Linked DNA regions of Diceros bicornis minor. The main gene of each other region encodes a partner of the protein of the gene in region 3 in a complex. Links are inferred from orthologs where the notes say so. Each region holds a gene or a part of one and is shown on either strand. Other genes may lie near its edges. The genes, in order: PRIM1, POLA2, POLA1 and PRIM2.

The links.
Region 1: the proteins of POLA1 (region 3) and PRIM1 are in contact, whole or in part, in a cryo-EM structure (PDB 7OPL), measured with the Homo sapiens proteins. The link is inferred for Diceros bicornis minor from reciprocal best matches to the Homo sapiens genes POLA1 and PRIM1. Residues at the interface, in NP_058633.2 of Homo sapiens: Tyr439, Ala440, Pro447, Glu448, Lys449, Ser450, Phe876, Thr877, Thr878, Gln880, Leu906; in NP_000937.1 of Homo sapiens: Asn92, Thr93, Val94, Lys95, Leu96, Gly97, Ala98.
Region 2: the proteins of POLA1 (region 3) and POLA2 are in contact, whole or in part, in a cryo-EM structure (PDB 8G99), measured with the Xenopus laevis proteins. The link is inferred for Diceros bicornis minor from reciprocal best matches to the Homo sapiens genes POLA1 and POLA2. Residues at the interface, in NP_001082055.1 of Xenopus laevis: Gln548, Lys551, His553, Gln554, Asn555, Phe642, Glu645, Val646, Gln649, Asn652, Leu673, Gly675, Arg676, Phe679, Lys1137, Asp1141, Pro1143, Asp1144, Ile1321, Gln1322, His1324, Asn1325, Lys1326, Leu1328, Leu1329, Arg1332, Ile1335, Lys1336, Tyr1338, Tyr1339; in XP_018112289.1 of Xenopus laevis: Met280, Tyr281, Lys282, Phe283, Met284, Phe285, Gln286, Lys287, Leu288, Met289, Ile291, Arg292, Val295, Ser296, Ile299, Glu314, Thr316, Leu320, Pro321, Gln323, Glu324, Thr325, Val326, Gln331, Gly333, Cys334, Asp335, Ser336, Asn337, Gly338.
Region 4: the proteins of POLA1 (region 3) and PRIM2 are in contact, whole or in part, in a cryo-EM structure (PDB 8G9F), measured with the Xenopus laevis proteins. The link is inferred for Diceros bicornis minor from reciprocal best matches to the Homo sapiens genes POLA1 and PRIM2. Residues at the interface, in NP_001082055.1 of Xenopus laevis: Leu842, Lys853, Ile894, Pro895, Glu896, Leu971, His974, Arg977, Glu978, Leu981, His982, Glu985, Gln988, Lys989, Asn991, Glu993, Asn1007, Asn1009, Arg1101, Asp1102, Glu1106, Gln1109, Glu1221, Asp1224, Gly1225, Asp1227, Ala1229, Leu1230, Met1233, Trp1234; in XP_018121015.1 of Xenopus laevis: Pro34, Pro35, Thr36, Glu37, Asn38, Ile39, Ser40, Leu41, Ile42, Phe44, Glu45, Ile49, Ile107, Phe110, Ile111, Leu114, Cys117, Gln118, Ser119, Glu120, Asp121, Arg123, Ala240, Arg241, Leu243, Val245, Val246, Gln247, Arg251, Leu252.

Annotation. Positions count from the first base shown.
Region 1 is NC_080756.1:12,129,630-12,137,745, reverse strand, and holds the start of PRIM1 (DNA primase small subunit), read right to left. Parts: upstream 3,227-8,116; 5' UTR 3,181-3,226; coding exon 3,078-3,180; intron 2,423-3,077; coding exon 2,265-2,422; intron 1-2,264. UniProt on the Homo sapiens protein: Catalytic subunit of the DNA primase complex and component of the DNA polymerase alpha complex (also known as the alpha DNA polymerase-primase complex - primosome/replisome) which play an essential role in the initiation of DNA synthesis.
Region 2 is NC_080770.1:7,904,063-7,911,578, forward strand, and holds the start of POLA2 (DNA polymerase alpha subunit B), read right to left. Parts: upstream 3,073-7,516; 5' UTR 2,994-3,072; intron 2,977-2,993; exon of another isoform or gene 2,527-2,976; 5' UTR 2,422-2,526; coding exon 2,343-2,421; intron 1-2,342. UniProt on the Homo sapiens protein: Accessory subunit of the DNA polymerase alpha complex (also known as the alpha DNA polymerase-primase complex) which plays an essential role in the initiation of DNA synthesis.
Region 3 is NC_080781.1:20,729,423-20,736,788, reverse strand, and holds the start of POLA1 (DNA polymerase alpha catalytic subunit), read right to left. Parts: upstream 3,287-7,366; 5' UTR 3,238-3,286; coding exon 3,213-3,237; intron 1-3,212. UniProt on the Homo sapiens protein: Catalytic subunit of the DNA polymerase alpha complex (also known as the alpha DNA polymerase-primase complex) which plays an essential role in the initiation of DNA synthesis.
Region 4 is NC_080753.1:10,098,247-10,105,685, forward strand, and holds the start of PRIM2 (DNA primase large subunit), read right to left. Parts: upstream 3,104-7,439; 5' UTR 3,049-3,103; intron 2,292-3,048; 5' UTR 2,284-2,291; coding exon 2,130-2,283; intron 783-2,129; coding exon 679-782; intron 1-678. UniProt on the Homo sapiens protein: Regulatory subunit of the DNA primase complex and component of the DNA polymerase alpha complex (also known as the alpha DNA polymerase-primase complex) which play an essential role in the initiation of DNA synthesis.

The DNA.
Region 1 (8,116 bases), on a different chromosome or scaffold from region 3:
ACAGCAACATTGGAAACTAGAAGATAATGTAGCAATGTCTTCAAAATTCTGAGGGAAATTGATTTACAAACTCAACCATTAGTTAAGCATAAAGGTAGAATGAAGACATTTTCCAGATACAGAAGTCAAGGATTGTCTTCCAGTCACCTTTCCTCAGGAAGCTCCTGGAGGATGTGCTCCACCAAAACAAGGGAGTAAACCAAAAAGAGAAGATAGGATCTGGACAACAGGGGATCCAACATAGGAGAGAGGTGAAAGGAAACCAGAGTGATTACAAGATGATATTTATCCATCAGGCTTAGAGAGCAATCAATATAGGTTAGAGGTCAGAAGGCTGCAGGAGAAATTTCTTTAGGATGAAATTGACAAACTACCTGATAGGTCTGAATACATTGGGAGTTTTAAACAATTTGCAAAGAGTTTGGAGTTGAATTAGTGATCTAACCCTAATTTTTTTTTTTTTTTGTGAGGAGGACCAGCCCTGAGCTAACATCTGTCACCAATCCTCCTCTTTTTTGCTGAGGAAGACTGGCCCTGGGCTAACATCCCTGCCCATCTTCCTCCACTTTATATGGGAAGCTGCCACAGCATGGCTCAACAAGCAGTGCATCAGTGCATGCCCGGGATCCGAACTGGCAAATCCTGGGTCGCTGCAGCAGAGTGCGTGCACTTAACCGCTTGCACCACTGGGCCGGCCCCTGACCCTAATTTTTAATCTAACAAACATATAGGAGCACGTGGGAACGAGAAGGTTGTATGTGTGGTGAGGGTAGCAAGTGAGGTGAAAGAAAGCTAAATCCTTATCTGCCAGAGTGGAAAGTCAACAGATAATGCTTGAAATGGAAAAACGGAAGAAATATAAACATGTTATTTAGAAACAAGGAGGTGAATACTTTATTCAGCTAAAAGAAAGTGGTTGCCTCTGGGGAGCAGAAAATAGGAGGAGTAGTAGGAGACATCTGTTTTTAAAAAAAAAAAAAAAAGGTCTACAGATGCCTGTCTCGGCCCAATAAAAAAATACTTTTCCTCCTTCAGTGTTAGGGAGATGGAATAGAGTGACAGACACCCTGACCCTTCTATAGAGACTTCAGTTTTAATCTCCACCTGTAAAGAAGAGTAAACTTCTTCAAAATATTTTTCCTGCCTGCCTTTTCTTATCGCTTCTCCTCTTCCTCTAGGATTTAGAGTTAGAAAACCTGGGTTCAGGTCCCAGCTGTATCATTTAGAAATTGTGTGACCTAGGGCAAATTATTTAAGTTCTCCAGGCTTGTTTTCTCCTTTGTAAAAAGAATAGTAAGGATTGATATGAAAAACAAGATATACAACGTATGAAAAAGCCCCATACAAAAGCTATTATCCCATGTGTATATTTCCCCCCGACATGTGTATTTTTAAGGAAAGGAAGAAGGACAACTTTGGTATGTTCCTTCATTCAACAAATATTTACAGTGTACTCTCCCAGGCACTATTCTAGGCACTCAGAATATATCAGTGGCAGCGGGTAGGAGGGGTGGCAGGTTGCAGCGGGCCTCAGTGAGTAAGGACTTGAAGGAGGTGAGGGAATGAACCAAGAAGATATCTGGGGAAATGGATTCTAGGCAATGGAAACTGCTTGAGCAAGGGCCAGTGTGGCAGAGGTGGAATGAGTGAGGGAGAGAGAGGGGCTTTTACTCTGAGTGAAAAGGGGAGCCACTTCGGAGAATGGTCTTGAGCAGAGGAAATTACAGAATCTGACCTGTTTTAAAAGGATCACTCTGGCTGCTGTGTTGAGAATAGACTCTCAAGTTTACAGGAGCAAATTGTTAGGAAGTTTTTAGAGTAATTCAGATGAGAGATGATAGTAGTAGCACTGGTAGGATTCTAGATATTATTATGGTAGAGCGAAAGAGATTTTCTAATGGAACAGATACAGGAGTGTGAGAGAAAGAGAGGAATCAAGTGTAACTCCAATGCTGGGAGAGAATGTAATTCTCTTTTAATTCCCTCCCTTAAACCATGCTGACTTCCTCATTTAGTCTTTTGCCAGATACTCAATTTTTTTGTCCTAGTGAGAATACAACCAATTCACTTCCAAATGATTTCCAGTCAGTAATGTAGATTATCACAGAACAAAAAATATTACAATCCACTTGCAAAAACAGTTAAATAAAGCGTAGCTCTTCAACTAGAATAAACTCTAAAAATTTTATCTCAAAACGCTGGGGGCACCAATCCATTCTTGGTTTAAAAAACAAAACAAGATATATAAAAAACCGATTTCTTACTCTGTGGGAATATACTGCGCCTATATCAATCTTGTATGGATTCATTTTCTGCATCTCCTTTTCCAGATCACTCTGGTTGTTGAAGGACTGGTAGCGAATGTAAATATCATCTTTCAATGTGAATGAAAATTCACGGTGTTGAAAGTAATTCTTTACCACTGCAAAATAAATGTATATTTTAAAGTTAATTTGGTACTTTATTCAGCTCAGAGCATTATAACATTAACCAATGAGAAGATATTTTTAATGAGCTCCCTGTGCCCAGCACTGCGCTAAACATGCAAAAAAAAAAAAAAAGACAAGACCTAGTCCCTAATTTGAAGGGGCTTACCATCCCGCATCTGATAGGGAGAAGTAAAAATGAGGAAAAAGATGCAGAAATATTTTAAATATGTAATGCCACCTCTCTCTCCTCGGTGGGCACTAATAAATTCAACTGCGAAGAGTTAAGTACCTCTCCTCTCCCGGGAGATGCCCCAGTCCCTGATGCAGATCATCACGCTCACGCCCCACTGACCCCCCGGCTCAGGCCCGCGGCAGGTAAATGGGGCGCCGAACGTGAGTCCGACCACGTAGTGGGAGGAGCAGCGGCTGTGCTTTTCACTGTGTGGCCGTAAGCTGGTCATCACAGCCTCTCTCGGCCTATTCACACCTCAGAGGTGGTAGGGAGGGCTCGAGATAACTCCCGAAGGTACCCGGCACACTGCCTGGCGCACAGCAGGCACTTCATATTGTCATTCCCAGGTACCGGTCCGGAACCTCCTCCCCCTCTCCTCCCGACCCTCTACCCACCCCGCTCCCCGCCTCCATCACCTCCGCCATAGTTGAGCCAGCGATAGTACTGGGCGTAGGGAAAGAGCCTCCGGTAATAAAGCTTAAGCAGCTCGGGCAGCTCGGCGGGGTCAAACGTCTCCATGGAGCGCGGAACTCAACCCAGGCAAGATTACAGCAAGAATTGGCGGGAACCGTATAGCCTGAGCCTCCGCCACTGCGCAGGCGCGTCGTGGCCGCGACCCGCGTCTGCAGAGGCAGCTGGGAATTGTAGTTCCCACTTGGAGGTTGGCCCGGGCGCTGGAGGCGGTGCCGCGGGTCTCCGCCCACCTGCTCAGATAGTGCTAGGTCCACTGCTCAGGTGGGCAGAAGGAGGCTTCAGCCACTGCAAGAAGAAGATATTCTGCGGAAAGGTGAGTCCTTGAGCGTATTGACTTAGGTTATTAAGGTGAAGTAAAAAAGACGTTTTCTGCTAACTTTATGAATGTTTTATTTTTACTTTATGAATGTTTTATTTTTTATTTTATTTTTTTGAGGAAGCTTGGCCCTGTGCTAACATCTGTTGCCAATCTTCCCTTTTTTTTTTTTTTTAATTTTTTCCCCCCAAGGCCCCAGTATGTAGTTGTGTATCATAGTTGTAGAGTTGTAGCTCTTCTACATGGGACGCTGCCGGAGCGAGCATGGCTTGATGAGCAGTGAGTAGGTCCACACCCGGGATCCGAACCTGTGAACCCAAGGCCGAGGAAGCCCAGTGCGTGAACTTAACCGCTGCGCTACTGGGCTGGCCCCTATGGATGTTTTAGAAATAACACATTTAAAATATGTAAACCAGTATCTTTTCAAGAGGGTTTGGAAATTAGTTTTTCATAAAATTATTAGGTCTCATATGTGGAAATAAACGAAGACCAAACAAATGAGAAAAGCAAAGGCTATTTGTTCAGGGCTTGCTGTATAGCAAGGGAGTCAGCCACTGTCACCTGCGTTTTGGCAGAGACTCAAGGGCAAGCAGAGGAGTGGGAAAGCTTTATAGCGGAAACAAGAGAAGGTTTCAGGTGTGCCCTGATTCAAGGCTGTTTACGTGGGGAAGCTGCAGGGGGGCTAACTAGGAGCCGGGCATCCTATGTGGTTGGTTAGAAAGCATATTTGGCTTTCTCTAGTTGGTTCTAAGTTGCAAGTGGGGACAAAAATTAGGGAAGCTGTCAGTTGTTAATCCAGTTCTGGCCATTTTGGGCCTATTGTTACAGGGGTTATTGTTTGGCTTCATGGACTATCACTAGAGACAGCAGTCTGACTTCCTACAAGTCTGACTTACAGCAGGCTGGCTTCCTGGGCTGTTTATTATAGCTAAGGGGGTTGGTTTTGAAACTGAGAACGAAGAAGTTAAAATCTTAGAGCAAAACCTTTGAGATAAGCTTTGCTAACTGCAGCTGTGCATACTCAGCATAATCAACTGTTGTTTAACCGGGTCTTTCTGTCCCTCCTTAGTATATGAGTCAGCTGTCTTTTCCAGAAATTTAAGGTCCAGACATCAAGATTCAGCCTCACAAGACCAAACACAGGCTGAAGATGAAAACTAACCAGAAAAGTCCGGTCAGTCAAGGGAAAAGAAATTCAGTCTTCAAGGCCAAATGCAGGCTGGTGGGAAGGTGCCAATCAGCAGGGCCGCATGCTCCCCCCTCCCCCCCCCCCGCCCCAAAACCCCAGCACATGCTCCTCCTCCCCCTAAAACTGTGATAAAAACCTCTACCTTTTTCCCTTCAAGGAGGTGGATCTGAGTTCTAACTCCCATCTCCTTGTCTGGCTGCCTTTCCATAGTAAACTTCTTTCCTTGACGCAAGCCTGGTGTTCCAGTTGTTGGCCCTCTTGTGCAGCAGGTGAACAAACCTGTTTGTGTTCAGTCACAGTTTCCCGGGTGGGCTTCTGCAGATTGTGGGTCAGAGTTCTGTTTTCATATATGGTCTGGCCATTGTTTGTATATTCAGTCTCTCAAATAGAACACCCAGGAATACTAAAATCTGAATTGGAGGAAGCTTGTAGAATCATGGCGAGCTTTGCAAGTATGAAAGGAGTGTGTTTCCTATTGATATGCAGGTCTGCCGATCATCTCATTGCAAATGGGGACTGGGGTGGGCACTCTGATAATCACATCAGTATCATATGTGCCACTTGAAAATGATCATTTTCATGAGTTTTATTTTTACAATAATAGTAAGAGAGCAAGGAGGGAATAGAGTCTCTAGTAAGTTATTATTAGCCTAATCTTGAAAATGATCATGGTCCCTCAGCCTATGGGCAAAGTGGTCAAAAATGGGCTTTGGACAGATCATATTTATTTGAATATTCCTAGATCTGGCTTCCTGCACAAATCTTAGTTGATTTTCCCAATCCCTATGCATCCGGTTTTGGGCAGGGTGAATTTCATTGCTAGGAAGGTCTTCACTCTAATAATGGTAACAAGAGTTCCCTGTAGAGTGCTGTTTTCTGGAACCACATCCCCCTGAACTTTTTAATGGAGGTTTCTCAGCTTCCTCATTGCTGTCTTTAAGAACTGACTTTTTTGGGCTATTCAGGAGTCCCCTATTTAAATTTCAGGACCACTAAGGAGGGCAACACCTTACAGAGCTAAGACATAAGGAAAGAAAGCAAAGGAAATTGTATTTATTGAGTTCCTAATGTATGCTCGATTTATTTAACGTTAGTTTCTTATCAGGAAAAAGGGAATAATAATAGCTAATATTTATATAGCATTAGCTATGCTGTCAAGTACCATTTTAAGAATTTATTCCTCATCAAGAGCTCTTTGTGGTAGGTACTAATATTATCCCTATTTTACAGGTGAGGAAATATGCAGGGAATTTAAGTAATTGGTCCAAGGTCACACAGCTAGTACATGGGAGAGCCAGACAGCCTGGCTCGAGTCTGTGCATTTAACCCCTATGCTACATGCTATGTCTGTACAGTGGGTTGTTGTGAGGGTTAAATGAGATAGAGTAAGAGGTGCCTGGCACAGTTCATAGCCCAGGAACACTCATTCTGGGGAAGCTATAATTCTGTAAAAGTGCTCTAGTTAGCGGCTTTTATCCCAGGTGCCATTGGGAGGCAGTATTGCCTTTCAGTTGGTTTTCCCTCGTGATTTCATCCACAGAGGTGCAAAACCCCTGTGTCCTTCAAGCCTTACACTATCTACCAGCCTCTTTACATTTAGTATTTATGTCTACTGTCATTCTCTTTGGATAATCTTATCAGTCAGCTTAGGTCTCTCTCCCCAAGATCTTTGCAGGCTTGGACACCTACCTCGTGGACTTCCCTTCCCTTCCTACTGTTATTCTGGGTGTTTTTAGCATGTAAAAGGATGATATATTTGGTGAAGATGTGGTTCATTTGGTAATTCTTTAACTCATTCATTTATTCCACAAATAGCTAGTGAACATTTGTGTTGGGCATTTAGCTAGGCTCTGGGGAGAAAAAATTAATGACAGGCATAAAAATTAATGATAAGATTGGTACAGGGAGACAAGCACAAAGTGTGAACGGCACGGCACTTGCAGGAAACTGCCAATAGTTCCCTATGGACAGAGGTCAGACTTCAAGGTGATACCGGCTCAACAGACGGTTGACATGAGGGAAGCCGTTGTAGAAAAGAAACCCTATTGTAACTTTGAATGACCTCTGATTAGCTAACCCAGACATGCTCTGTAGATTTTACGGCCCCTACTGGTGCTATAAGTTGATAACTTTGTTCTTTTTTGTTCCTTAGGAATGTGATGACCCTCTGGGCAGAGTCTGTGCTGATAGCCATCATCAATGAAAACTGAAAGATCTGGTGTGGCGACTCCCAGTCTGTAACACCAGAGGGTCAACATTCCTAAGCCCCTCCCCTATAACCCACTGGCCTATATAACTGCTGTAAGATTTTGTGCCCCCTTAAGATGGTTCTTTTGGAGATTAGTTGGCCATCTTCCCCTTTGCTAGCAAGCGGTAATAAAAAGTCCTTTCTCTCCTGCCTCCTTGCCTCTTGACTATTGGCATGTCTTGCAGCAGGCAGACAATTCCCCCATGGGTGGTAACAAAGGGAAGGCATAGTGAGAGATGGGGCTAAGAGGCAAGCCATGGCCAGAGCATTGCATGCCAAGCTAAAGAGTATGCACATAAAAATTATTTATCTTCCATTTTTATTCGGCTTTGGTTAAAATACTGATCATATCAGTATTTGATGAGAAGCCTTGGGAGTAAATAATCTTATTGAAACAAGTAAGTTGCAAATTTGAAGTACTCCTGTGCTAGTTATTTTCCTCCTCAATAAGATAAGAAAGAGAATATTAGAAAATATATATTTTTTGTTGACACAAGAGCAATAAATAAAGGGAGACTACCTAGGTGGGGCCAAGGTCATATTTAAGTTTAATTTAAATTGTGTAATTCTGTCTCCTGTTATCATAAACTACTGTAAAGTAATAAAGAGCACCCTCATATTTGTTTAATGCCAAAGTTTTAATTTAATCTCACAGGAATTTTTTTTTAACTACAAAGCAAATGATAACCACAAAGCAGATAAAACGTGTTATAGGACATTGTGTTTGTTCTTTAATTTATATAATGGATTTAATATGTGAAATTGAATTTTTTCACTTAAGCTGTAAGTTAACCCACCAGATTTTTGATAAGTAACCTACCAATATACATATTGTATACGTTCTCTTGTTGGTCATAAAACTACATACTCTTTGGATCTAGCTTTCTCCTTGTAGACTGCTTGAAATAAAAGATGGCAGATCAAGTCAAATCACAACATCAAACCTTGTTCCTCCACAGGAATTTGGATTTGTCTGAAGACAATGGAGAGCCTTGGAAAGCTTTTAAGCAGGGAGAAACATAAAGTTGTGTTTTAGAAATAAACTTTGGAGCCCTGTGGAGGACAAATAGGAGGGGAGAGAGCAACCAGAGGCAGAGCAATCCCAGGAAACTTGCTGAAATCCAGGTGACAAATACTGGTAGCCTGAACTAAGGCCGTCAAGTGGAGATGGAGGGGTTTGGGTGGCCATCACTGACTTAAGGAGGTAGAGTTAATATTGATTGGATAT
Region 2 (7,516 bases), on a different chromosome or scaffold from region 3:
TGTTAAGCATAGACTGAAGGAGACAAGGGCAGAATCAGGGGGACCAATTAACAGAATCATGGCAAAATCCAGGTGAGAGATGATGGTGGCTTGGCTCAATGTGGAGGCAGTGAGAAGTGATTGGATTCTGGATAGGATATATCCTGAAGGTAAAGCCAGGGGGATTTGCTGATTGGTGTGAGGTGTGAGGAAAGAAAAGAGTCAAGGAGGATGCTGCCAGTTTTTGCCTGAGCACCTGGAAGGGTGGAGTTGCTATTAACTGAGTGGGGAAGACAGCAGGAGGAACTACTCTGAGGAGAGAGAGGAGACACGAGGAGCTTAGTTTTAGACACAGAGAGTTCGTGATGCCCATTAGACATCCAATTGGAGACATCAAGTAGCCAGATGGACAGACAGCCGGTGGTTCAGGAAAGAGGTCTGGGCTAAGATATAAATTTGGGAATCATCAGCAAACACATGGGATGTAAAGCCATGAGACCAGGTGAGATCACCAAGGAAGTGAGTGTATCTTGGGGCTCAGGATGAGGATGAACCTGTAAAGCCTGAGAAGTGGTGACAACGAAGCTACGAAAACAAGGAGCTGTGTCCAAGAAGCTAAGAGAAAAACGTGTTTTAAGGAAGAGGACATGATGAATGGTGTCAAATGCTGCTGATCAGTCAAGATGAGGACTGAAAATTCACCACTGGCTTTAGCCAGGTGAAGGTCATTGGCGACCTTGAGAAGGGCAGTTTCAATCAAGTGGTGAGGAGGAAAAAGTCCACTGAAATGGGTTTAAGGAGGAAAAATTTGAAGACAGCAAGTATGGGCAACCCTTTTGAGGTCTGCTGTAATTAAGAAGGAGAGAACTGGAGTGGGAAGTGGGGTCCACGGAATACTTTAAAGGCAGGAGTAAGAACCACATTTCTATGCTGTTATGGAAAAAATCTTATAGAGAGAAAAACAGTAAATACATAAGAGGTGAGAATTACTGGAGTGATATCCTTACGAAGGTGAGAAGGAATGGGATTTAGGACTCAAGTAGAACGTTTGGCTTTTGCAAAGAATTTATTCATTGTCATAGGAAGAAAGGCGAGGTATATGGCACAGACACAGGTAGGTGGGAAGAAGTAATGGTAGTAGCTTATGGAAGTTTTCTAATGGCTTCTATTTTCTCGGTGAAACAGGAAGTAAGTCGATCAGCTGAGACTAGGACAGAAGGATGTTAAAGGGGCAGAAGGTAGAAGAGAGTCATCTAGAAGACTCAGAGTGAATAGACCAAAGAAATATGGTACAACTGTCAGGCAATATTAAAGTCCCATTGAGGCCGGTGATTATGAATTCAAAGTCTAGAATTCCAGTGCCAGTGTAAGTCATTTGTGAGATGGAAGCAACAGGCATCTTGGACTTACAAATTTGGTTCACGCAACTAATTTCTCTTGTTTTGATTTCAGGCTCACTAAAGAAATTTCTGATTATGATTGGGTTTCTCCTTTAAGTGTCCTTTTAGGAAGAGAGTGCACTGGGCATAAGAACTTGAAGTATTTTGATCTCTCATGAGAAATGAACTGTTTGCATTCTGGTTTTATACATTAAAAAAGAAGCTCAAACTGTTGATGAATGGTTAAGGCAGGTGCACATTCATCCTGATTCTAAAACTGAGAACTTCCATATCTCCCAGGACTTTGATTCCAACAACTCCTTACACCACCCCAGAGCCTGACCAATACAATGGATCAATATAATGGAGCACTAGACTCAGGGACAGGAGACCTGGGTTCGGAGACCAGCTCAGCCTATTAACTCTCCTTGTCTGTTTCTCCATCTGTAAACAGCTGACAAGCTCCCTAAAGTTCCTTCCAAAGCTAAAAGTCAATTTTAGGAACCCACCTCAAGGGACTCATATTTGCACAGACCACCAACAGCTGTGATGAGAATTGATGGCTCGGAAGTTTAGGGGTAGGCTGGAAGGGGTGGAGCCAGGAATAAAAAGCTACATTTCAAAACCCCAACATCTTGCTTGCTCTGTTCTGAGGCTTAAACAATTTCCAAACCCGCAGATGCCACCAGGCCTAGTCTGAACCTGGCACGTCCCAGTTCCACCTTTCTGGAACTGTGCTGATTTAAAATCGTGCTTCATAGTCTTATATTTGAGTTGGAATCCAAGCAGTACCCCGTGAGCATTCAAAGTCCCCACATCCCAAATGCCAAGACTCAGCTTAATTCTTCGTCTTACAATCACTGAGAAGTCCGACCTAGGGGAGGTGAAACTTGGAAGCACTCCCCTTTGGGTTCTAGGCGACTGGGAACACGGGGCGAGAGCATGGACCTGGGCTGGGGGCCGCGGCGGGGGCGAGGGACTCACATTTCTCGATCAGAGCCTCCTCGCAGTCTAGGCCGAAGATCTGCAATTCCTCCAGCAGGTGCTCTGCGGACACGGCCATGGTGACCCAGCTGGGGGCCGGGCCCAGCCAGCTCCGACCTGAGTCCAAGAAGCTCACGGGCGTGGAGATCGATGAGCAGGACGAGGTCCCTCTGATCCTTTCACCCTTCGGGGGACCAAGACAGAAGGTGACCAAATGGCCCAAGACCGCAGGCGGTCAGAAGGCCCAGCCGTCAGTCACAGAGAAACACTTTTTTTTTTTAAATGTGAGGGAAGCCCCCAAACGCCCAAAGGACGTGAGCAGAAATCTCGAGAAGTCGCTCCCCTGGGGAGAACGTCCTGACTCCTAAAAGCTACCGCCGAGCATCCCAATGACGGGAACAGAACGGAGCAGCCAAGAAAAACCCGCCAAATGGTTTGCGCGGCGCGCGCATGCGCGAGAGCCGGATTCAACCCCACCCATTCCCCTCTGCTTCCTTCTCCGGGTTTCCGACTCCGCGCGCGCACGCGCACAAACGCCAACGCGCGCGCGCCCGCGCCTGGTGGTCGGTCCGCCTTACGGCGGCTGCGCAGTTGTCTCTAGCAGGGCGCAGACGTGGGGCTCGGGCGCGCGGCGTCCCTGGTGCCCCGTACCGAAACCGCGTCTCCCCAGCAGCCGCGGGACTTCTTTTCCGGGCACCGCCTGCTTGGCGAAGCTCCGTGACGCACGTTCGTCACCCTTCTGTCCTGTACCTTGGTGCGCAGGCGCTGTCGTGTACATGCCCGCGAATGTCCCATTCTGTGCTCAACGCGGGGGAGGAAGAGCGTGTCGTCCTTTCTGTCTCCCTCGTCATCTCTGCGCTCCGTGTGCGCTCGAGTCATCTTGAAAGGGTGATTTGGTTAACGGGAATCTGGTTGCCGTGTTTATCAAGGTTATTACCTTGGTCCCAGCCACAGTGCTAGGTGTGTTTTCTGGATCTGGGGCATTTGGGTGGAAAAGGGGTGGAAAGGTGACAAATGACTTCGTTTTGGACGTGTTAGGCTGGTGTGTGCCTTTGGGATTTCCAGGTAGAGGATCCCAGTGGGCGGCTAGAACCTTAGGAGTGAAGAAGGGTCACTAAGAGGGAGAGACTTGAGAGGTAAAATGAGAAGAGGGCCTTCCCCCTGAAATATTTCCTAATTCTTTGAGCCAGAATCTTCCATTGGCTCGTGTTAGATCAAATAACCTTAAGCATCATACTCTGCTAATGCAATGGTAGACTGGTAGTCTTTCTAGAAAACAAACTGGCAATATATATCAGGAGCTTAAAAATGTTCATCTTCCTTGACTCAGCATTTCTTGTTCTAAGAAAACTAGCCATTAAAATCCAGACAAAGTTTTATGAACAAAAATGTTCTTTGTAGTCTTATTTCCAATAAAAAAAAAATACAATAAAAAAAATTGGAAACTAAACATCCAAAGGTAGAGGTTGATTAAGGAAAGTATGGGTATTTACCAAAGCAGTGATTCTCAAGACTGGGCCCCATGGCGTGGTGGTTAAGTTCCACTCGCTCCCCTTCAGCAGCCCAGGTGCCTGGGTTCTGATCCCAGGTGCAGACCTACACAACATGCGGCCATGCTGTGGTGGCGACCCACATGAAAAATAGGGGGAGATTGGCACAGATGTTAGCTCAGGGCTAATCTTCCTCAAGCAAAAAAAGAGGGAAATTGGCTACAGGTGGTAGCTCAGGGCGACTCTTCCTCATAAAAAAAAAAAAAAAGACTGCACCAAAGAGGCCAGACATTTCTAGGAGATAACCTCAGGGCATGCAATGAGGGACAAGATGCAAGGCAGAATGGGAGCACCCTGTCTTGGCTGCGATCCGGCAGGGTGGAACAGGGTGTAGTTTGCTTATTAACCGCAGTCAGGGGCGGGGTAGAGAGACAAAACAACCTTAGTCTCCCCTAAGGCTTCTTCCTGGTGGGTACCCAGGGTGGAGAGCGGGCGTGGTTCTCCTGGGTACAGGCAATAAAGGGTGTATTAGTTTTCTATTGCTATGCAATAATTTATCACAAACTTAGTGGCTTAAAACAACACCCATTTGTTAGCCCACAGTTCTGTAGGTCAGAAACCTGGGCACAACATGCCTGGGTTCTCCACTCAGCAAGGCTGAAATCAAGGTGTTGGCCAAACTGCATTCTTTTCTAGAGGTTTCTTCCACCAACCAGAGAAACTGCTTTTAAAGGGCTCATGTTATTAGGCCAGGCCCACCCAGATAATGTCTCTTTCTTAAGGTCAACAGATTTGGGACTGTAATTACATCTGCAAAATTCCTTTACAGCAGTGCCTAGATTAGTGCGAAGAGGGCATTGTCCCAACACGAAAAGACCTTGCTGCAATAGAGCACAATAAAGAAAAATAAAAAGCAAAAGAGGAAGTTATTATTGAAGCAATGGCATAATCTATTTTGAAATATGTAACGCCTTCAATATTGGGTATAGTTTCATTACATGATAATTACTAAAAATAGTCGTATAGAGGAGGGAGGGTTAAACAAGTCATGTGTTCTCAGTGTCAAATAGGGTAGGCATGACACCAACCTTCCTCCCTCTTTCAATTCTTTTCTGAATTATGAGTTGTCTATTACTATCTGGAAATGGGTAACAAGGAGTGATAATTAAGGACTGGTTCTGGTCTCTACTAGAAAGCCTTCAAGAGCATGTCAAGACCCTCTCTAGAGTGTGGGATTGTTTCTCATATATTGTACTCTAATAACAGGAAAGATCTCATTCCACCTCCTGTCACAAATGCTTAGTGACCATTTGAATTTCTTCTTGTACAACTCATGTGTTTACATCTTTTTCCTTTCCTTTCTCTTACCAAGTTGCAGAAGCTCTTTCTACATAGACCAGGGGTTGCAAACTATGGCCCTTAGGCCATATTCCACCAGCCACCTGTTTCTGTAAGGCCTGCAAGTTAAGAATAGTTTTTACATTTTTAAACGGTTGAAAAAAACCAAAAGAAGAATAATGTTTCATGATGTGTGGATATGACATGAAATCCAAGTATAGTTTTTTCCATATAGATCCTGTTTTTGTTCAATTTTGTCACAATATTTTTTGTTGCCCTTGTGAATGGAATATTTTTCCCATACTGTTTTCTATTTAGTCATTGCCAGTTCAAAGAAAAGCTATTGGGTTTTGTACATATTTCTTGTAACCAGTGATTTTATCAAAATCCTCTTATTGATTTTAATGTTTTAGGAGAGTCTCAGAGTTTCCAGATTATATTATTTACAAAGAAAGATATCTTTTTCCCCTTGTTTTCAAAGGGATGATACTAGTCATTTTATATTCCTGTCTTAGCGCATTGATCCAAACCTTGGAATCAGTGCTTAATCACAGTGGGTGTCCTCGCCTTCTTCCTGTTTCTGACGGCAGTGGCTTCAGTGTGGCCTCATTTTGTTTCATGGTTGCTACTGGATTGTGTTAAGAATGCATAATCAAGGTTTAGTTGCTTTCTTCTTGTTCTCTTTTCCTTAGAGTTTATTAGGAATGGCTGCTGAATTGTACCCAACATCACTAAAGAAGGATTTCCTCTTTTAACTCATGGGTGTAATAAAATGTGTCACTTTTATAATGATAAAATAAACCTTCACTTTAATTTGAAAGATCCTGTATTAAAAACATCTGTGATTCAAAGAACACTATCAAGAAAGTGAAAAGATAATCCATAGAATAGGAGAAAGTATTTGCAAATCATGTATCTGATAAGGGTCTAGTAGCCAGAATATATAAAGAACTCTTACAACTCAACAACAGAAAGACAAACAGCCCAGTTTAGAAATGGGCAAAGGACTTGAATAAACATTTTCCCGAAAAAGATATACAAATAGCCAATAAGCACATGAAAACATGCTTAACCTCATTAGTCATTAGGAAAATGCAAATCATATCACTTCGTACCTACTAGGATGGCTGTAATAAAAAAGATGAACAATAACAAATGTTGTTGAGGATGTGGAGATATTGGAACCCTCAAACATGCTGATGGGAATGTAAAGTGGTGCAGCCACTGTGGAAAACAGTCTGGTGGTTCTTCAAACAGTTAAACATAGAATTACCGTATAATCCAGCAATTCCACTCCTAGGTATGTACCCAAGAGAATTGAAAGCATATGTATTCAAAAATACTTCTATGAGAATGTTCATAGAGGCGCTATTTATAACAGCCAAAGAGTGGAAACAACCCAAATGTCCATCAACTGATAAACGGATAAATAAAATATAGTGTATCCATACAATGGGATATTATTCAGGCATAAAAGGGAATAAAGTTACTGATACATGCTACAACATGGCTGAACCTTGAAAACACTATGTTAAGTGAAAGAAGGCAGACACAAAAGGCCACATATATGATTCCATTTATTTGAAATGTCCAGAATAGGCAAATCCATAGAGACAGAGAATAGATTTGTGGTTGCCAGGGGCTAGGGGAGGGAAGAATGGGGAGTGACGGCTAATGGGTATGGGGTTTCTTTTTGGGGTGATGAAAATGTTCTAGAATTTGACAGTGGTGACAGTTGCACAACAGTGTGAATATACAACGTTGTGAATATGCTAAAAACCACTGAACTGTACACTTCAAAAGGGTGAATTATCTCAATAAAGCTTTTATTTTAAAAAAAGATCATGTAGCTGTTTTGTATGCAATATAGTCCAATATAGATGTTCATTATTTTTCGTTAATGAGATATTATATAATTAATATAATTCCTATTAAACCGTGAATAACCTTATTATCTTGCGGGCCTGGGGTGGGGAGGGTTTGTCATGATTTTTTTGAGTGACTTGTCATCTCAAAGGAATGGTTTGGTGGGGGAATAAAATACAAGCAATGTCACGTGTGGTGACATCCTGTTTTCCCAAAACCCCAGGCTACCTATGGGGGAGGGAGGGGCAGCTCTGGGTCCAGGTGGCCACTCCCCGGGGAGGCTTCCAGACCAGCGCCTGCTCTGGGACAGCTTTCTGACCTTTGCCATGTCATGTCATGATGGCACAATCCCTGAGTTATTGGTGGTGTTACCTCTATTTCCCACGTGCGAGTATGGAAGCTCCGAGAGTGACGTAGTGTGTCTGGGGAGAGTTCTCCGCTAAATGGCCCAGGCAGATCCAGTCCAGCCCAGGTCTCCAC
Region 3 (7,366 bases):
GTGAGAAGGCCTACATGAAGATTCAGAGATTACTGAACATGACCACTGAGAGGGAAAAGCTGACCTCAGTGTATTCCCTTCAAGAGTCTCTTGACTCCTTTAGTAGGTTACCCTGACAAAATCTACAGGTCTTCAAACAGACTTACTCCACAGGCAACAATGTACCACTCTACAGGGTTTGGGATACAATTACAAATACCACAGAGTTAGCTGTTCTCAAGGGGCTCACAGTCAAGTAAAGCAAAAGGACCTGAGGCTCCCACCATCACATAAAGATGGTGCCATATAAGAGGTAAAAACACAGTACTGAGGAAAAATTGAAAAAAGAACCATTAATTTTGCCTGGGAAATCAGGGAAGGCTTCACAAGGGAGGTTTCCAACACAGAGCCAGAAAGAAGAATAGAATTTCACATTTCATCACTTTTTACAGAGTAAAAAGTGGCACAAGAAGAGGAAAAGGCATGAGCCAAATTACTGAGACGAAAATGCAAGGTGTATTCAGAGAGAAAGTCAGTGTGGGAGGTAAGTTCGACATGAGAGCATAGAGTGAGCAGGAGAACAAGAGATTAGGGAGAAGCAGCACTACCCCACTCTGCCACTTAACTGGGTGACATGACACCACTGGTTAACCTCTCTGAGCTGCAGTGGCCAGCTGTCTTGCTGTTTTTTTAAGCGGCCCAGCATCTGAACCTGTTTGTGAAATTCTCCCCTTATAAGTCTTGATGGGACACAAAACACACGCCCCACTACAGAAGCTGAAAGGCAGATGCTCTTTCCCAGACACCCTTGCAGCTACGGCATGGGCATATAAAAAAATACGCTCTACCAATCAGGAACACCTGCTCAGAATTTCAATCAGAAGCTAGTGTCATAAGGAAAGGGGGTGGGCTGAAGGAAGATTCTAGAAGCAGCAACAACTGCAGGAGGATTGAGTGCCTGGGGCAACAGCGCCAACAATGTCCCAAGGAACAAGCTATAATATCAAGTACTTGGCAGTGGATGGCAACAACCTCCTCACCGGACCAGTTTTGTGACACGATTTTAATCACTGTTCCTGGCTGAGCAGCCCCCAGACTGGCTCTCGAGTCCTCCTGGAATTTCTGTGAACAATACAATATCATTCTAACAAATTCCTTTTGTTTAAATCAGATAGAGTTGGTTCCTGCAGCTGACACCTAAGGACTCTGACCAATGCAGAGCCTCAGGGTCCTCATCTGTGAAATGGGGATAATCATGTATGCTTCATAAAGTCGTTAAGGATTAAATGAAGATGCTTGGCTTACTTTGTACTCGGCAATACAGGAGAAGCTCCTTTAATGTTTGTGTATGTGTATAGATGCAGAAAAGTCACATACACATACACACACACCCCACACACAGCACACCTAGCAGTACCATGGTCTAGCCTCTAGAAAGCAAAAAATAAAGCAAAGCAGTTTTCTCAGGGAAGCCTCAATATAGCACTGCATATAATTAGATGTTTACCACTCAACTCCATGAAGACAAAAACTATGTCCTGCTTACCTACCACTGTAACACCAGAGCCTGGCAGAATGCCTATGCCAAGTAGATACATAATAAATATTTGCTGAATGAACAAATAAATGAATCACTGTACCTGCCTTTTTTAGATCATTAAACTCTCTAATCCCTTTTCATATATAATAACAGCTAGTTACAGACCTTTCAACTTTTCACTGCCATTGTCAAGGTACCCCACCGTCTAATACTTAAGGGGAAAAAAAAGGCCTCGATTTTCCTTTTTGGAATATGTCTCCAATGCTTCATGTGGGTAAGTTAGCAAAAAAGAATAAGCGTGAAAAAAATCCAGTTACAAAAGCTTAAATATTTGTTTCAAAATTACCATCTGGCATACTCCCATCGTTCCCAAAAGCAGAAGACACTAGCCTGCAACAGTCTTTCAGGTAACAATCTTTCAGTCTGCTCTAAAGGAAAAATTCCAGTCACAAGTCCCCAGCGACTACTTAATCAACACCATGACTTAAGAGAGGTCTCAAGATTGCAGAGTATGCTCCAAAGAGTGATTTCTTGATGTTCACAGATGATGTACAGTTTTTAGGGTGAAGAAAGGGCTTAGTGGCAAATCACTGATGGAGGGCTGCAAAGACTGTTCACGTACTCACATCCTATATCCCATTTGTAATCCAGCCTAGTCGACTCTCCAAAATAAATTGTCTTAAAAAATGAAAGGCTAGCAGAACAAATTGAAATCTGTGCTTCACAACTAGGTGCATGCAAAGGAAGCTGATTAGGAAGGAAGTTCTCATTAATGGTGATATATTTGAGTGACAGGAGATATGCCGCTTGAGCTAAGAAAGTGAAGCATCTGATTTTAAGTTAGAAGTTCACTGAAGTTAAGTCACACTTTAGTTGAACACTGTTCAAAAATCAGAAATCAGACAAAGCCATTTGCATTTTTGCATTCTATTTTTGGAAATAAAAGATTACCACTGAAAACAGAGTGATATACAAGGCATTCGAAATGCTGCTGAACTGAGGCATTTTTCTCTAGAAGCTTCACCAGAGATGACTAGATTGTGAACACTTTTTTTTAATGCAGCACTTGATGAACTTTCCATAGATTTTGAAAGAAAAATTGTTAACGCATAAAGCAGAAACACATTACCTAAAAAGACAAAATGCATTTTGATCTTCTAGTGACAGCACTTAGGGCTCTCTTTCCTGCTTAGTTACAATGTATAAGAATTTTCCTGGGAGTTTCTATAAAGGAGAGGGCGCACATCCGTTCTGTCCTAGCCCTTAAGCGGACACTTGGGGCGGGAGTAGTGACATACTTTCGGCCAAGACTGTGTCCCACCGGGGCCAGTCTCGATAAAGCTGTGCCCAGCACATGGGACTCACCAAAAGAAATAAAAAGAAAAGCAGGCTAGTGCGGAGACCTGCAGTGATAGAGGTGAGTCAGCCTCCCAAACAAAAAGCCCCGCAGGGGGGTTGCTCGGGTTTGCCAGGAGCAAAGACCCCTGCAAGGAAGCCTCGTCCAACGCAGATGGGTCCCAGCCCAGGACAACCGAGGTCCGCGCCCAATAGCCCCGCGGGGCGACCCGGGCGCACGCCTCCTTAACACAAAATAAAACAGAGACCCCACCACCCGCAGTCATTCCACGGTCCCCGCACTCCCAGCCCGGGACCCCACGCGCGGGGTGTCCCTCCCCGCTCGCCCCCAGCTCACAGTCCTCGCCGTGTACGGGCGCCATGGTCCCGGAGACTCTCGATTCCGCGCCAACCAGCCCGAAACTGGCGCGGGGGCCGAGACAGGCGCCAGCTCGAAAGCCAATCAGCGCCTCCGGCGGCTGCGGACTTCCGCCCGGAAGGCCACTGACATGCCGCGCAGCGCCTCGCCCCGCCCCCAGCCTTCCCGCGGGCGCGCGTTTGGCGCCCTGTGATGACCCCTTAGGGAAAAGAAGGGGAGGCCGAAGAGAGCAAGAAAAAGAAGCGGTCGGGCGCTGGAGAGGAGCCGCCTGGAGACTCGCTGCGCAGGCGCGCCCATGCCGATGGGAAAAGATTTGGGCGCCTTGGAGTAGGGGCTCTCTGGTTCTGAGAGGTGATTTTATGGGAAAAGAGACGCGGGCGGGCAGTAGGGTGGGCGTGGTTAGACCGGTTTCCCGCGAGCCTGGGAAAGCGACTGCCTCCTGCTGCGCACTCTAGGTCTTGCCTGATACTTTGCTTCTCAGAGTGTGAATACAGTAGCTGTGTGATTTATTTCTATATATGCCAACACTTAAAGGTATATGCCCCATCTTAACCAAATGACCAAAAGTAGCAACACCAATAAGGGGCAATCATATGCCTCCTCATGTGATGCACTTGGGAAAAGCAAGAACATCACCTATATAGTCTTCTTGCAAAAAATGTTTAACCTGAACTGAATCTAACCATGAAGAAACAATCAGATGTATTCAAAGCGTAGGACAATCTATAAAACATCTGGCCTGGATTCCTCCAAAATGTCAATGTTATGAAAGACAAAAAGGGCATTAGATTCTTGTGTATGGTATAATGCATGCAATGTATGCATCTCATTTTATCTTTTTCCAAATAGGTGTAACATTTTTATGAAGTAATACCTGTCACACGGTTGTAATATATTTTCCTATGTTTTTTGCCCACATACTTGTTTATGCCTTCCTCATGTGACAATTTTGTAATATCATTTTCTCTAAAGAAATAATTCAGAGATATATCCTTTATATCTCAGGATATAAAGATAATTATCAATTATCAGTTGATCAATAATTTATTGATCAGCCTCTAGCATGGTTGATCAATGTTTGTTTCTTAATTTCTGATTGTTTAGAAAATTTTCTTTCAGCTTCATAACTCATTATTTAATATGGTAAAATACAATGCATATGTTGTGATACATAACATAGTAATTCACACTTAGTTACACTCACTGTTTAAAGTACTAGTAGATATTTATGTCTACACTTCCCTTTAAAAAAATTGTTGGAACTTCTATAGTTGTATTATCAAGTTTATTCCTAATATGAGAGAAGCATTTTGGCTAGGCATCAATAAGAACCAAATCCTTCCCTTACAATTTCACACATCTGATCATTTTCTATATGCCAGCTTAGACCTCTAAGCATTTCAAATCTTGTTTCTCTTTCACTACCCATATACTTCAGGGGCCAGGACCTGTAGGACACTTTCATATCATGATACGACTTCTGGCCTTGCACATTCAGGTCACAACTCCAAGTCAGCACAGTAGGGTAGGAATATTCCTGGAAGCTATTTCTACACCAAGAGGTCTATCAATAACTTAGGTGTATACGAACATGCCTTCAACCCACATAAATAGATGCCACTACGTCAAAACTCACTGCAATACCAACTCAACTTTCCCATAGTAGAATCCCAAGATCACTGTGCCCACTCCACCACCACCACCAGGTAGGAAGGGAAGTGTATCAGAGGGACAAATGGTGGTTCTCAAGAGCGGATTGTTACATATTTAGGAATTTTATAATATGCTTGTTAAACTATTGGTAGCTTGAAATCAGCCATGGAGGAAGTATTTACACCATGGAAATTAGCAAATGCAGCAAATCAGAAATCAGGCCTTTTTTTTTTTTTTTGAAAGAGACAGTTTGCCAACAAACCACCAAGTAGAAAGTAGTCATAACAGATTGCAGTTAAAATATCTTACCTTTGCAAATTTTCACAAAAACATAAGACCATTGCTAGAGCATCTCCCAGGGCCTTGGAAGTGGCCCATTTGCAAACGGGAGGCTCTGAAGCTTAAGTTTCATTAACTTCACTGTAACTCTACCTCTGTTATCTAATCATGCAAAAAAATCACAATTTGTCTTAAACTTGCTCTCTCCTATCCAACGCAGGACCAGTTTTGCACTGGTCTTGCAAACTGAAGATTTGTTTTTTTCACTTATTATTACTACAAACAAAGAAAAATAAATTGAGGCTAACTTGAGATACTATTTTCCACCATTTTCTATCTTTTTATTTATATCTCTCTATATAAACTCTATCCATTACTGGTAAGCTTGTAGTGTTGAGGAACCACTCATTTTTGCCAGTGGCAGTGTAAATTGGTACAACCTTTTGGAAAATAATATTGTAATATGTAACAAGTACCATAAGCATGCTTTTATCTTTCAAGCTGTTATTTCCACAGGCAAAAGTTAATAGGAAATAACTCAATAGAAACGAAAAAAGTGCAAAGACATTAATGGCTGCCATTTTCCATTAGCAAAAAGTTGGGACCTAAATGTCTATGTCAGAGAAGAGGTTTAATGAATGACTTCAAAAAGATAAAATAATTGGGAAAACTCAAAACATGGAAAGTGTTTATGATATTTCATAAAGTGAAAACAGCAGAGGGCAAAGTGATATGAACACTTAATTGCAACTATGTATCAAATCACTATATACATACAAGCAATATGTAAAATTGAGTATATATTCTCCAGATGATAGCATTATAGATTCTTTTTGCTTACAATTTGTTCTCCTTAATTATGTTGGGAGGCATTACAACATCAGGTAGAGACAAATTTAGGGTTTGATTCTTAGACTACTACTTTTATATGACCTTTGGCTGGTTACTGAAACCTCAGTTTCTTCCTCTATAAAACTGAGGTGCTTATACTTACCTAAGGAGCGATTGTGAAATTTAATTGAAATAATACATATATGCCACTAAGTGCCGTTAAGATGCCAACACCTAAAAGGCATTCAACGAATAGCTATTATTATTATTGTATTTTTAGTTACTACATGAGGGTGTTGGTATCAATGTAACTGAAGGGATATGATAGTCAAACGTAAACAAAATCAAGTATATCAACTGGCAGAAACTTTTGGCAGTCAATACATTTGGTTATGATCAATTTCTTGGACGATGTCAGTGCTTTACCTATTTTACTGATCTTCCTAATAACCATACAAGGTAGATATGTCAAGAAATTGCTATTTGCTTACCACTACATCCATTGTCCCCTTTCTTCTTAGTAATGGAATGTGGATTTTTAGCTGTGCACAGTTACAGATGGAGGAAAAGACTATATTTCTCAGCCTTCTTTGCAACAAGGTTTAGCTAGATGACTAATTTCTGGCCCACAAGATGTAAGCAGTAGTGTTGTGGGAGACTTGGAGGAAGGCTGCTTAATGAAATCTGATACATCTGAAAGGAGACTCTTTTTTGCCCTTTTGCCTTTTCTCTCTTTCTTCCTGTAACACAGATGTGATGGCTGAAGCTCCAGCAGCCATCTTGGACTATGAGATGACTGTGAAGATGAAAGCCACACACTGAGATGGTGGAACAGAACGATAAAAGCCTTGGTCCCTAACATCCATGGAGCCACCATACCAGCCCAAGCTATTTGTCTACTCCCCAAACAACTTTTTTTGTTTTTATAAACAGGACCTTCTTTTTCTAAAAGGATTGACAACCAGCCAACTGGATTCTATTCTGGCATTCCTGCCAGGTATATTTCTCATTGCAATCAATAAATTAGGACTCTGGTTCCAATATCAGTGTGCGTTTCTTAGCATGAGAAACTGGTTATCTTTGGGTATATTGACAAAATCAGCTTGTGGAAATGCAAAGATTCTGAGCCCAACTGGGTAATGTTGTTTATATGCAGCTGTGGAGAGAGGATTTTCTGCTAGCTGAAAATGGGCAAGCAATGAGAGAGGCTGCATATGCTCTCAACGTCCCACAAGGATTCCAGGAGATAGGAGTAGATGTGCAACTCCCCTGGGCAGCTGGTGGTGCCCAAGCTCAAATCATTTCCTCATGCACCTGAGTTGCAAAGCCCCTCTCTTGACTTATTTGCCTATAAAGAGGTGTAGTGGCAG
Region 4 (7,439 bases), on a different chromosome or scaffold from region 3:
TGGTGTCATTCATAGCTCTTCTCTCTCTTCTCCCTGCAATCAGTCACTAAAATCTTTTGATTCTACCATCTTAATATCTCTTCAATCAGTCCTCTTCTCTCCATTTAATTCACTATCCTCATTTCCAGGGTCCTAACTGGTTTTCCTCCTACCAAGCATGACCCTGTCAATCTGCTGTTGGCAGTCATTTTCCCAAAATAAAAATCTGATCACATCCATCAAGATGCAGTTCCAGCACTACCTCTTCTGGGAAGCCTTCCCAAACCTCCCCAGTCTGGGCTGGGTAATTATATGTGCTCTTGGAGTTCCTGGAGCACACATCTCAGAAAAGCAGTCATCATCCTGTATTGCACAGGGTACATGTGGCAGTGTCTGGAGACATCTACCAGGTAGAAGCCAGAGATGCTACGGAGCATCCTACAATGCACAGGACCTGCACCAAGGAACTATCAGGCCCCCAATGTCGACAGTCCCAAGGTTGAGAAAACCTGCCATATTACAATCATCTGACTACATATCAATCACCCCTAGTAGAGTGCAGGAAGCTTCAGGCAGAGTCTATGCTACATTAGTCTTTTTTAAAGCCCTGTACCTAATACAAACCCTCTCTCACCACTGATACTCAGTACGTGAATATATACCTACTGAAAGAATTTTTTTTTTTCCTCTTTTACTTACTCTGTAGGAAAACTTGAGTTTTCGAATCTCAGACTCCAACTTACTCTGGTATGGCTCGGTCCCTTTCACATAGCTCACACCAAGATTTTCAACTGATTTTAGTACTAGAAAATATTTTAAAAACAGAAGAAAGGAAAAAATGTATAAATGCAAGATAATTTTTAAAAACTAAATCCAAGACAAATAAAATCTATGGATAGCAATTCCATAATTACTTGTTTATAAAAGATGACAAGTTGTAACAGTTTCATTTGCTGCAAGTACATTATATAAATTACATATGTTTATAAGAGGCTAATCTCCATCCATGTGCAGAAAACACCCACGTCCCACAGCATAATCTAATACCAGGGATTCTCAGCCAGAGGGAGGGAGTGGTGGGGGACAATCACTGCTGAAAGGAACCACCACTGTTGAGGAATGGAAAAGTGTGTCAGTATGGAAAAAAGATTAACCATCCCTTGTTTGCATCCCTCATGTGGAGCTGTCTGTTAGGCAGTCTACTTCATTTACTGAGCACAGAATCATCAGAAGCCCTTCCTTTCCTGATGAAGCAGAGAAGGCAAAGACACAAGAGTGAAGAAGCAAGGCCCTCCAATCATCTAAGTGAACTGTTCTGAATAGATGCTACATACTGTTCACTGGTTCCTAAAGCCCCTTGTCAATACTTCCTCAGATAAAGTCTTCCTCTATCAATATGAAAAGAGGCATTTTTAAATTCAAGAATGAAAAACTTCTAAAAGGAATAATAAAATAAACCCATGTCCCACAGGTGCTATTATTTCTGTTTCGGTTCATGCCAAGCTCATTCCTTTTTTCCACCAACACACAGAGGATTAGGAGGCCCGACTACAGTAGCCACATCCTTCTTACACCCCAATATTGTGCCATCAGCTTGGTACAAAATGCCCTTAATTATCCATACTTCTCCATCTACTCTGAACTTGTTACTGTTCCCACAAATGACATTCTTTCTCATGCCTCCAAGCCTTTGCACAGCTTGGAAAAACCTAGCACTTCTTCTCTGTTGAGAAATTTCTACTCATCCTTCAAGGTCCAGATCACATTCAACTTCTCTAACAAGCCTTACTTAATCAGACTAAGTCAGTCACTCCCACTTCAATGTCTCAATAGCACTACTATTTACCTCTACTAGAGCACTTAAAATACCAAATTCTGATTATAATTTTGGATGTCTGTCTCCGTGTACTGGAATGCAGTTTCAACAAAGGTGAGAATTACATTATTCATCTCAAAATCCCTGCCACTAGAATATAGTAGCACTCAATAAATATGCACCGTACAGTCAATAAATGAATGAACAGCAAACCTTCAATAAATATTTGTTGAATGAATTGCTGAACGAAGGAAATAAAGTACCCACACTCATTCCCACAAAGTACAAGTGAGGTTCTCAAGAATATATAAATTCTAATTCACATATCACTCACATTTAACTCTATCGATAGCCAAGTTTTCAAACTCTATCAAAGATATGTTTTCAGAAGGTGGCTGCAGGTAAAACTGAAGGCTGTGAGGGTAGGAAGCGTTCCTCTGGTCACCTGCCAACCTCAGCTTCCTCCGCTTTCCTCCAGAAAACTGCATCTTGTTACCTTGTAAGGAAGCATATAAAATGGTTAAAATGATGGAAGGCGGAGTTGAAAAAAAAACAACAAACAAAAAAATAACTCCACATGCACAGGGAAAAAAAACTGAAGTTGAAGGGCATGCACAAAATGTTAACAGTGGTTATCCCTGGGTGTTTGTTGTCTCTCTGTTATTTTCCAGATTCTCTACAATACACCTGTAACAATTTGGTCATGGGGGGCGGGGGGCGGGTGCTAGGGAAGACGTAAGTGGTGGTCCTAACTTTCAGCACATGCAAGTCAGGTGATGTCGCCTGCTCACTATAGGTCTGTGTCCCACCGTCCTTAGATGTCTGCGGTCTCGAGAGTTCGGATGAGGTTTGACACGAGCTGCAATCCTGAACTCGGAGGGAAGCGCGGCAGGTTCGGGCGAGATAAGAGACTTAATGGGCCGGGTCCAGTTACTCACTTCCTATCCGATAACCCTGGGAAACTGAACAACTGTCTTTCGAACCCAGTCTTTCGGAACTCCTTTTAGGGAGCATCCACAAGTTCTCAAACTCCCACCCCGATCCTCCCCCACTCTCCTCCGGCGAAGCTCTCTCTCCTCCCCTCGGCGGCACCTGCACCTCTGCCCTAAACAACCAACCCACACCCCAGACCCTCACCCCCGCCAGGGCAACCCTGCTCCCACCGCCCGCAACGTGCTCTCCCTGGTCTCTCGACTTGCAAGCCTCAACACCAGGATTACTGTCCGCCCTAAATCCGCGGGAGTTTCTCTTACCCGCAAACACACCAAACGCGAAAACACGCAACCGCTGACAGCCGCTCGCCCGAGTGGCGGGAGATTTCTTATGGAACGGAAGCGGAAGTGGCTGGCCCGCAAGTCCCGCCCCCTGGCTGTCCCGCCCCCCGCCCCGCGCGGGCCCTGCGCATGCTCAGTAGGCTCTTCTGGGAGCCGAGAGTGTGCCGTCTCTTTTGCCAGCTTCAAGTTTTTTAAATATGGGTGTCTTTGATTCCTAATTTGAAGCTGCGCGTCCTGTATTTGGAGTCGGTAGCTTTTACCGTTGAAACTGGGGTGCTAGAATGCTAGCGGCAAAAATTCCACACGCCAAGAGTGAAGCAACATAATTTGGTTTGGGGCCGCTGGCCAAGATTCCCTAAACTGAAAATGGGGCGCTTTCACCCGCAGGGCTGGCACTCATCACTTTCGATCTGGGGGAGGAATAGAGGAAGAATAGGCATTTACTGAGGTCGTTTTTTGCACCCGGCTCAGTATTAGGGGCTATGTTTTTTCTTGTTTAATCTTTCAGCGACCCTATAAGATAGGTCATATTACTCCGATTTTACAGATGAGAAAACAGAAGCTAATGCCCATCTATGTACAATACATATTTTGTTTTTTCTATCGGACAGCAAACCCCATGAGGACAGACTACGTTCAGTCCACTCCCCTCTCCCCGCCACAACCCTCGCGCATAGGAAGCGCCCAGCAAACTATCTGGAATGAACTAGAATGAATGAATGCGCACATGCAGAAATCGCTCCGGGGTCTACAGAAATTAGAAGAGATCAGGCTCAGAGGGAAGAAGAAGCAGGGGTCGAAGAAGTGGAGAGCGCTGGGGAGAGAGTGGAGCTCGGACTGCAGACTCGGAAGCGGCGGGTCAGAGCCTCACCAGGTGTCCAACGAGTCTGTAGGGTTTTCAAGAGCTGGAGTAAACTTCACTGTGGCCTCGAGGAGGCGTGTCTCACTTACAAAAGTGTTCGAGGAAGGCTCTGGTAAAAGTAGTCATTGGAGGTGAAGAGCGCTTTGAAATGTTCGTTTTTAGAAATGCAGAGTATGTTGAAACAATATCAAGCTTCAAAGCACCTACCCAGCATGGACCAAACTGTCGCTGGCACTAACTTTGCACCAGGAAGTGTTCTAAGTGATTTCCATGTCAATTCATTTTATTCTCGTAAGCATATGAGGTAGGTTCTATTATTTTACCCATTTTACAGATAAGGAAACCGTAGAATAGAGAAGCTAAGTGACTTCAAAGATCACATAGGAAGTGACAGAGCCAGGTTTGAAGTCAGGGAGACTGTCTCCAAGCGCCACAGTGCTAACCACCACACTGTACTAATTCCATAATATGACAGCAGTGCCTCACCTGAATTCCCTCCTCTATCAGACACGTAATTAGCATCACCTGAAAAAACCTGGATCCCAGACCATAAAAACATTTACATGAATTTTTATCTGATCTCTGGATAGGGAAGGAATTTAGAGATAATAAATAACAAAGAAAAAATCTAAAGATTTGACTACAAAAATATAAAATTGTGTATCGAAAAAAATTACAAAGTTTTCTGCAGTCATCAAACTGGGGGAAAGTTTCACCATAAATATCGTATCAAAAAGGCTAATACTGTCAGGATGTAAAGAACTTATATAAATTAATTAGAACAAAATCCTAAAACACAAATTGAAAAATGGGAAAAGAACAGCAACAGATAACTCATAGACAAAATAACTAACGATATAAAGTATGGGAAAAAAATGTTTATCATTGGCAGCAAAGAAATTTTCCCCTACAAAATTGGTAACGATTTTACAATGAAAATACTCAATGTTGGGCAAAGTACAGTGTGATGGGCTCACATAGGAATTGATTGTGGTACAGTTTGGGCCACTGCCTCACGGTGAAGAGTATTTTCTGTATCCGGAAGCAATTGCAATATAGATCTACATATCACAGCATTACTAATGCACGATAATGTTATACATTTCAGTAGCCATATTTGGTAAATCACTGCAAGCTCTTTCATGTATTTATTCCATCAACAAAAATGGACTGACACAATGCTCAGCCCTGGCGACCAAGATGCATATAAATTACAGACCCCGACCTCACAATCAGGGGGAGGAAAATACATATAAACATATAACTTTTACTTCTACTAGACCATAAGCATCTGAAAAACAGGGACCACTGTGTCATTCATCTTTGTAACCTCAGTGTCTGGCACTCCGAGGCCCCTCAACAAATATTTATTTTATTGAATTGATGTAAAATGTGAGAGATGTATGAAAAAAGTGATGGATTCAGCTTGACGTTCAACAGATGGTTTGAATCAAATATGACTCCAACCTATAATACTTCAAGTCCTCATCTGAAAACTTCATACACATTCCTTCCAGAATGACTTGGCTCCCCAGTTTAGCTTGTAATAAAGCACAGAGTACCTTCCCTGACGGAGTTTCCATGACTCATCACTGCTCAGTTCAGCACCTGCCCTGGGCATTACCAGCTACAAACAGACTGTCCCACAGGGTACTCACCCCTCGAAGACTCCACAGCTCCAGAAGTTCTGTCCTGTAGTGTGTCACACTTCCAGCTGAGATTTTAGTTGCCATGCTTGGTAAATCAAAGTGAGTGTTCATTCTTCCCCTGTGCAGGCTGTGTCACCTAAAAACCAAAGGCGTGGTATGTTTCTCTATCCAGCGAGGACACTATAAACTCTAGGTCCTGCCAGCTCTGCTCGCCATGGAAAGCAGAAAGATAGGAGGCATTTCCTGCGGGATAGCTGACACATAAAAGCCAACGCACAGTTAGCCAACCGCTGGTCCCTCTGCCCTTTCCACTTCACTGCCCACCTCTGGGGCATGGCTAGGGAAGAAACCTCAAGGAGCACCTCGTTCTTTCCCCCTTTGCTTCAGATTGCTTTTATTAGTCTAGCATCAAGGAACAAGGGAACTAGAGAAAAAAACATATTCTTAAAGGGAAGTAGAGGGAGGGAGGGTTACCCTTCCATATGTCCACATTACGTGATTTGTTCCAGAAATACTAATTGAACACCTACTAAGTGCCAGGCATTGTTTTCTGCGCTGGGGATACAACAGTAATGAAACAGCCAAAATTCCCTGCCCTCATAAACCTTATATCCTAGTGGGAAAGAGAGACAATAAACAAGAGAAGTATCCATATTACTATGTTAAATAATAACTGCTAAGCAGAAAAAATAGAGCAGAGAGGGAGGATATAAATTTTCTTGGAGGAGGCATTGAAATTTTAGAAAAGGTTGCCAGGAAAGGCTGGCTAAGAGTGTGACCATGAAGCAGAGACCAGAAGAAAATTAGGGATTTAGTTGTGTGTATCTTTAGGAGAATAGAATTTCAGGCAGATGGAAGGCTTATCACAATTCCATAGTATTTAAGAAAATGTGATATTGATACAGGAATAGACAAAGCAATCAATGGAACGAATAGAGAACCCAGAAATGGACCCACACCTATGAAGAAACCTGGTATATGACGGATCCACTGTACAAATCAGCGGAGAAAAGATGGACAATTCTGAATGGTACTGGGACAATTGGCTATCAATATCGGGGGAAATGTATTTCCTACCTCTCACTATACACAAAAATCAATTCCAGATGATTTACATGTGAAAGGGGAAACTTTAAGAATTTAGAACAAATATATAGATGGTCTTTATATAGCAAAGAATTTCTTAAATAAGACATTAAGGGAAAGCACTAGCAGTTCTGGAGATGGATCATGGTGATTGTTTCATGACAACGTGGATATACTTAATGCTGCTGAATTGTATACTTAAAAATGGTTAAAATGGTATGTTTTCTGTTATGTATATTTTGCCACAATTTTTCTTAAAAAGCACAAGCCTAGAAGGGAAAGACTGATCATTTCAACAACATTAAAATTAAGAACTTAAGCTTAAAAGTCACATAAAGACATATATTTTTAACGAGCCACAAATTGGGAAAAGAAACTTGTCAGACGTGATTAACACAGGATTAGTATCAGAATATAATCAATAGGAAAAAGATAAAAACACAATAGAAAAGAGGGCAAAAAAAAAAAAACCTGAACAAGTATTTCACAACAGAGGAAACATAAATGACCAATAAATGTACAAAAATAGTTCAACTATATTAGTAATTGGGGAAATGCGAATTAAAACCACAGTGAGGTAATACTGTACACCCACGAAGTGAACAAAAACGTTAAAGTCTGAAAATATGTAGTGTTGACAAGGAACTCATCTATTGTAGGTAGAAGTAATAATTGATGCAACTGCTTTCAAAAACAATTTGGCATCATCTTGTACATTTGACCCTTTGTCTCAGTACAGTAATTCTACTCAAAGTATATTCTCTAGAGAAATT